2 linked regions of the Coturnix japonica genome follow. The protein of the gene in region 1 purifies or fractionates together with the protein of each later gene. This does not show direct contact. Links are inferred from orthologs where the notes say so. Each region holds a gene or a part of one and is shown on either strand. Other genes may lie near its edges.

What was found.
Region 2: the proteins of ASXL1 (region 1) and OGT purify together in Homo sapiens (affinity purification with mass spectrometry; 3 studies listed by BioGRID and IntAct, with this or other methods). This does not show direct contact. The link is inferred for Coturnix japonica from reciprocal best matches to the Homo sapiens genes ASXL1 and OGT.

Annotation. Positions count from the first base shown.
Region 1 is NC_029535.1:8,888,129-8,891,945, reverse strand, and holds part of ASXL1 (polycomb group protein ASXL1), read left to right. Parts: intron 1-623; coding exon 624-706; intron 707-2,662; coding exon 2,663-2,771; intron 2,772-3,817.
Region 2 is NC_029519.1:2,145,742-2,149,558, forward strand, and holds part of OGT (UDP-N-acetylglucosamine--peptide N-acetylglucosaminyltransferase 110 kDa subunit), read right to left. Parts: intron 2,602-3,817; coding exon 2,449-2,601; intron 2,119-2,448; coding exon 1,866-2,118; intron 1,707-1,865; coding exon 1,583-1,706; intron 1,036-1,582; coding exon 861-1,035; 3' UTR 1-860. UniProt on the Homo sapiens protein: Catalyzes the transfer of a single N-acetylglucosamine from UDP-GlcNAc to a serine or threonine residue in cytoplasmic and nuclear proteins resulting in their modification with a beta-linked N-acetylglucosamine (O-GlcNAc).

The sequences.
Region 1 (3,817 bases):
TTCTGTTCTTCATATGATATATAGAAGGACAAGCTGTTATCTATTTTATTGCCTTTTTAGTGTCTGACTTGACTCATTTTCCTTCGAAGGCACAAGGCTTACACCTTTTTTTAGCACCTACCCATCATTTTTTCCATGTCCTTTACCACTGTTGTTATCTTATCCTGAACTCTCCCCTTCTCAACACTTACCCACCGCGCTCCCCTTGATAGATGAACTGAACGCTATAAGCCAAGGAAGGAATGACACAGTTGCCCAGTAATATTTTTATTGCCAGAAAAATGCTGGATTCCTTATTGGGAGGTAGAAAGGCATATGGTTGGGAGAACATTTTACATCACTAAAGGTCTCTAACTACTATGCTGTACAGTTTTAAAGGCTGTTTGGTAGCAAATTGATATTGCATGTTGGAGTCTAGTGAAGCTCCCCCTGGCTTTTCATGTGGTGGAGTCAAGGCTTTTGTTCTGCTTACTATGATGTTGAAGTACCTGAAATTTTTAGCACCTCTGTAGATAAATAAAGCTCTAAGAGGTGTATTTCTGGCTCTGAACTCTGGCGTATTGAGCAGTTCTGTGAACATAGATACAAGCTTGTGATGACACCTGGGGTTTCTGTCTTTTCAGGTGCTGGAAAACTACTCAGATGCTCCCATGACTCCAAAGCAGATTCTGCAGGTCATAGAGGCTGAAGGACTGAAGGAAATGAGGTTAGTATTGATGATCTCATGTAAAACCCGGCATGTTCATGGAGCAGGCTGCATAGAAGGCCTGAGCCGTTCTGTGTGACTCTGCCTCATCCCCAGCCTGCTTTCCTGCTTCCTTTTTTCCCTTTCCAGCATGGTGATTTCAGTTGACAATACAATTATTTATAATACTGTGGTTTTTTTTTTTTCCTTGGATTTTTTTGGTAACCTACAGAGTTCCCTTCATCCATCTATTACAGAATGAGTGCCTGTTGCTGATCAGACTGCACTGATTTACTGTTTACCTGCATACTTATCTCATAAGTAGCTCCTGGTGCCTTCTACTACTGGGCTTAGTTTGGTAATATTTTCAGTTCTGTCTCCTCTGATGCTTCACTTCTAGAGCAGACGTTACATTTTAGGACATTTTAGAAGACTCAGAAGGGTATCGCTGTATCTTACAGTGCTCTGCTGGCACTTCTAGTGCTTTTGAGCTCTGTGAAAGCACTGTTTATGTAGTCGTGGCTCTTGACATTGTACAGATGATATGTCCTCTTCATCGCTCATCTGGCTGTCAGTGGATTTCCTTTGGGGTGTCTGCTTTTCCTTCCCCTTGTTAACTCTCTGCTGTAAGAAAAGCCTGTTTTCTTCCCAGTGTAATTGTTCACAGGACACAGGCAGTGATCCTGTCTAGCTAAATATGCAGCAGGCTTTCCTGCTACATGAATAGAAGCCCTTCCTGAAAATGCATTTCCTGAAGGAAAAGGCTTAGCGACTCAGGAGGGGGTTTTCCCTTTGAATCAATACTGAGGCTGTGCTGTCGTGGTCTGGGGGTGACCCCAACCTGTTGGAAGGACCCATTCCTTAGCGGCCCTATGGGCTCTGGGCTAAGCTGGGATGTCAGCACCCAGCAAGAGCCAAGATCTTCCTCCTGGAAAAGTTCTATTTGTTTTTCCCTCCTTTTGGGGAAAAAAAAAATAAAAAAGAATCTGTTTTTTCTGTTGTTTTTTTTTTTTTTGTTTTGGTGGGTTGTTTTTTTTTGCCATTTCAAGAAATGTGGCTGGCTGGCTTACTTGAAATGTTCTGCTGAGTACCAAATGGAAAGCACTGTCTGACAGGCCAGAAGGCTGGGAGGTTTTTTTCATGGTATCTAAAAATGATTGAGGGTGATTTTCGTCTGCTGCTGAGGCTTGTGAATCAACGCCCAAAACCCAAATGCACTGAGAGTGGAAATAGCAATGATTCTGAGCTCAGTTTTCAGTATGAGGATGACTTTCTTTGATATCTTTTTGTCTCCATCCAGTTTTCAGTTTTGCTTTTAATAACGGTGAAAACAGGGCTGCTTTAATGTCTCTTTCAGGTAGCTTTCTGCGTGCCCCTGTGTGACTTACTGGAAAACATGAGGTTACACGGCATGGAAGTTCCATTGCTGTGTGCGTAGGATGGTTGCTTTGGTCATGAATGGCAAAACTGGGGCATTGCAAAGGGCTTGTCAAGTGGGTTCATCAGACCTTTTACATCCAGCTCTGCCAGTACAGAGTTCTGTCAGGGGAGACATTCCAGAACTACGTATGTGCACCATTTTTGCTGTTTCTGTTTTCGTTTTGCTGCTGCTGACTAAATCTGGTTTTTAGTAGAATCAATCCAAGTCTGACAATTACAAGCGGAGTAAGGGAGGAAACGTGTGATGAAAGAAATAACTAAAAATGACCAAGAGTAACTTCAAAATGAGCCTAACGTTTCCTGTTCTCTGCAGATTGCTTTGCTGTGATGTGTTGAGGCAAACGTACAGGTCAGAATGGGAAACAGTAATACTATTCTTACTGAAGTGCCTGTCCCATAAAGATAATGAGTCTCATCTTTGTTTCCCTCCGTCAGCAACTGATGCTGATTTAAACAGGTCTTTCATTTTGGGCTGTTTTCTTGATAAGGCCGTTTCTGGAAATGACCGAGTCCCTTTTGTGCCCTCCTGTTTTTCAGTGGCACCTCTCCCCTGGCCTGCCTCAACGCCATGCTCCATTCCAATTCCAGGGGGGGCGATGGGCTCTTCTACAAACTGCCCGGACGGATCAGCCTGTTCACACTGAAGGTAAATATTGAGTCTTTGCTCTTGGTTGAATGCCGAGCTGTGAGTTCTGCTTGTTATGCATAGCTGAGTGTTAAACTGTCGCTGAGCATCATAGGAGCTGAGTGTGCTGCGTGTGAGATCATCATGTGAAAGTGTGTCTGGAATTCATTATTTCATCGTAGCTTTTGTACCTTTCTGCTATATTCATCCATATGTGGTACATTCCTTTCAACCCCACCTATTATTTAATGAATTACACAAGCAAGATAAATCCTTACTCCAGTTTTCTGTTTTCAACTCAGGTGTTGATAACCAAAATAGTCCTGTTTCACTCATCAAGAGCCACAAAGGAACGTGGCCAACCAGCAAATCATGTTGGTCTGAGAGCTTGTAGCTACAAGTAAAATCTTGATAGCAAAATATATTCTCATTCAGAGTTCTCTCTGAAATGTTTTATTTTAGCCTTTTATCCCAGTAATCTTCAGTGTTGAAAATGCCTCAGGCTTTTCGTTGGTGTTATTTTGTACTGTTGGATTCCCTGTTAAAGATCAGCTTTATAGACAACTGATATCTTGTCTATTACTCCATTTGCAACTCTTTTACCACCATCAGAAAATTTGGTTAAATTGTCACACTTTGGGGGAGGAAAACAGAAGGAATTGAGATGGTTTTGGTTGCACAGTTAGTAAATGCATCTCCCAGGCTTGCTATCCTAGTAGCTGGCTTCTTGAGTGATGCCTGTTCTTTAACTGGTAAGGATGAGATATGAAGATTGAGATATTTCTCTTCCTTAGAAACTGCTTGCTTGATTCCCAGGAATGGTATAAAGTCACTAATATGTACTTCAGATATATCTGAGTTATTCATCTTGGAAATATCTTTAAAGTGTGCTAGTGGTTCACATGACTTCTGCTCCAGTAGGAGCCTAAACATTCTTAGGAATATCCTTCTGCATCAAAAGAGTTAAAACAGGGAGGAGATTAAAATAAAACGTGTATCTGTGAAACCAACAGCTCCCTTGGTTTAAACGGTGGGGACTGGGAGGAGGACTGCAGCCACCTGAGTTT
Region 2 (3,817 bases), on another chromosome or scaffold:
CCAAAGCTTTATTTGTTTTGTCTCAAGTCTTCGCTACAGTCCGCAGGGCTGCGCCCTCTATACACCATTGCCACCCATTTGTGAAACGTATTTGGCACCAGTTTGTGGGTTTTTTTTTTTCCTTTTCCTCAAACGCTTTTGGGGGAGGATTCGTTTTCCGATCAAATTTGGTTTTCTAACAGAATAGGAGCTGCCATCGTGATGCCAATCAGCTGTTATTGGAGAAGCTTAAAAACAAAAACGGAACAAAAAAAGTCCTTATCTAAACCAACACGTTACAGAGCTCCAAAACAGAGGTCAAACATTAAAAGGCTGATATAGGCTCGAGTGGTTTATAAAACCTATAAAAAAAGACTACACCAGCAAATATGCCCTTCAGTCCGCACAGTCTAGAAATGAATGCAGGGAGCAACACTCGCTAGCTGGAAATCTTGCCATGGGAGAAGCACACGTATACCACCAGGAGTACCCCAAATCAATCGTTAAGAGGCTCCAATTCCCAATCTATAAGGAGACAAACGCGTCAGAAGATTGCATCAAATCCAAGGGATCGTAATTGGTTGGGCAGTTCAAACTTCCCCCACCAACCTCTCCTCTCACACATAGAGGCTCACATGTACACGGCTCAATCCCGTTCCAATTCCTCATGGAATAAAAGGATCCCAGGCTCTATAGAGTCTTCCCCTATCATGCAAGAAATACGGTCCGGCTGTGCTCTAATTACCATCGTGTATCATTTCAGCCACAGAGTACCAGGCAGATTAAGTAGAAATGCACAGTTTTTAGCTCATCGTCTCTGCACAAGTGTTAGAGAGGCTGAGTTCCTGGACAGGTCTGGCTGGGCACACAGACAAGTCTCTTCATGCAGATTCACTGGTTTCCACTGGCTTGATCATGTGGTCCGGTTTGTTGCCAGCAGCATAGTGATCCCACATCTGAAGGTAAAGCCTCTCCAGGTCCATGGTGTACTGCTTGGTGTTGAACAAAGGGCTGGATATTCTCTGCTTCCAGACTTTGCCACGTATTTTTTTCAGGCTGCAAAAATAAGTTGAAGGCAGTCACAAACGCTTCCCAACACTTCTCAGTGCTGTTTGCTTTTAAAATGGGTTTCAGCAGACCCAGAACTGCCAGTACAAAAACGGCAACTTCCACACCAAGTTCATGTGGCTGTTTCACTCCCTCTTCGTTTCTGATACAACCAGCATTATCTCAGCAGAACAGCTGTGACATTCAGTTGTCACATGAACTATTCTGCTCTGTATTACTGCACAGTTTTAACCTACAACTGTTTCAAATTCAACCTACAAGAACTAAAAGTGAAATATGGTGCAGTTTTTAATCAGACAAGAGCCTGTACTTGAGCAATTCCTTCACAACAGCAGCCACGTTACTGGAGCCCTGTTACATTTACTGCAAAAACAGAAGCAGAGTTAACTGCAAGACTCTACAACACCTCAAGATGAGAACTGTCCTATTTCCAACATTAGGCTAATACGCACAACTACTGATAAACTCAACACTGTGACCCACCACAGCACTTTCATTCTTGATCTAACAAGCTACAAAGTGCAAGTTTACTTACTATTCCAGATCAGTTCCCAGTTTCACAGCAATATCCTCATATTCCTGCCTACTTTTTGCAATAAGCTCAAGACAACCAAGGCAAGTAAGCTGGGAGGCAGCGACTCGTGACGCAAGCGTTTCACCTGTAAAGGCACACAAATAGGAGTTACCAAGTAACACGCTACAGAGTGCAGACCTGTTTCTCTAGAGGAAATGAGGAAGTCTGCCAGACCCACTCCCTGTTATGGTTACAATAACGGTATCAAATTCACCCACTCCATCCAGGTTTCCCACAGCGTTACCTGGCATGGTGACCATAGGAGTCCCAGCCCAGAGCACATCCATCCCCGTCGTGTGCCCATTGCACAGTGGAGTATCTAGACAAACATCAGCCAGCTGCCCTCTCCTCACATGCTCTTCCTTGGGGGCAACAGGAGAAAAGATGATTCTGTTCTGGGAAAGACCCAGGTTTTGGGCATACTGCTGAATATTGGGCTCTCCTACGGCTGGGAAACGCAGCAGCCACAACACACTGTTTGGAACTCTTTTTAGGATCTGTAACAAAAAATCAAGACAAAAACAGTTACGTTAGAAAGCTTTCCTTATTTGGATAACAAGAGGTCATGATGTAACAAGATGAAGTTAAAAGCGTTCGTCACTCAGTACTTTCTCTCTTGGAGCACAGAGCAAAAAACAAGACCACAATAGTACTGAATTCCTAATGCTGCTGAAAAAGAAACAATTCTGAGCGAGTATGGAGCAGCACTTGAAAAGTAAGTCTTGAAATCCACGATCTCATTCATTCACTGCAACGCACTTCTGAATAAATTAATACCACTGTAGACCAGAGGTTCGATCTTAGTTTCCAGATCCACAGATACTCACATTAGCCCACATCTGCAGCGTGGAAGGGTCAATCTTATAGAGTTGATTGAAGTTGCAGTATACAACAGCATCTTCTGGTAAGCCATACTGAGAACGGGTGGTAACAATGATGGTTCGTGGAACTTCTTCTCCAGTTGCTGCTTTGTTGTTAATCTAAATAAAGAAAAAAAAAAATAAAGCCATTGGAATGCTGAAAATAAAGAAAACGTGCTTATGCCCTATGGAACATTCCTGACATACATACTGCAACACGTGCTGGCATCAGAAGTTACTCAAAGCTTATCTTTCACTTCTTATACAAAGACTACATTGTCTACTTACCCAGAACAAGAATTTAAGTGGTGTGTGTACATGCTTGTGGATACCACGATGCTACAACCACCAAGGAACAAAACACTGGGCATTTTCATGCCCTGGCTACGTCTCCCTGCAATTCCAGGTCATTAGAAAGAAGAGGCATTTAAGGAGCACTCCCCTCCTTAAGGTCACCTCACTGCCTCGAAACTAAAAATGAGAGCAAGGCTTGAAGGAAGAAGAGAACAGTATTTAGAAAGCAAAGGGATTTCTTTTTGTTTGTTTTGGGGGTTGGGGTGGATGGGTTTTTTCTTTTAGTATTCTTAGTCTTGAGGATTAGTAAAATGGAAGTATAATTCAAAGTCAGAATGACGGACTTTTGTAGGCTATTTTCTGTTTGTTTTTAAGCAATAGGCAATGGTCAGAAGGAAACGTCCTTACAGATATGGCAAAACAGGTACTTACAGCCTCTGTCTGTTTTAAATTTAATGTTTTACATACATATATATATATATATATATTTAAAGTTTATCTCACTGCCACTGCTGCCAGCCAAAATAAATGTACTGTTGACAAACTTGACATTCATGGGAATGACTCACTGTCACTGACTCTGTTAGAACATGGAGCCAGTATGTTGAAACTGTAAAGACATGAAGATAAACAAGATAATTTAGTTCAAAAGAAATAGGTAAGAGTGCTACTGACCCATAACACCAAAAACCTCAACCACAATGCACATTAATAGTACCAATACCCCACATTACAACACATACAAAGAAGGGTTATCTTAGTATGATCAAAAGAGGTCAAAATCTCACAAGAGATCAAACCACATTTTAAAAGGGCACCAATGCAGCTTAGATTGGTTCTCTTGGTGGTGGAGTGATTAAGACAAGAAACTCCCTGCTATTTCAGGGCACAGCATTTCCAGGAAAGAAAGCCAATAAGATTACTGATCAAACTAAGATGAAGCCTATTGCCAACTCAGAAGGAAGTCTAAGCTGGGCACCAAAAAATTCATTAAAAGAAACCAAAGCATGAGGTTATGGATAGAGCAGTAATAATAAAAAGG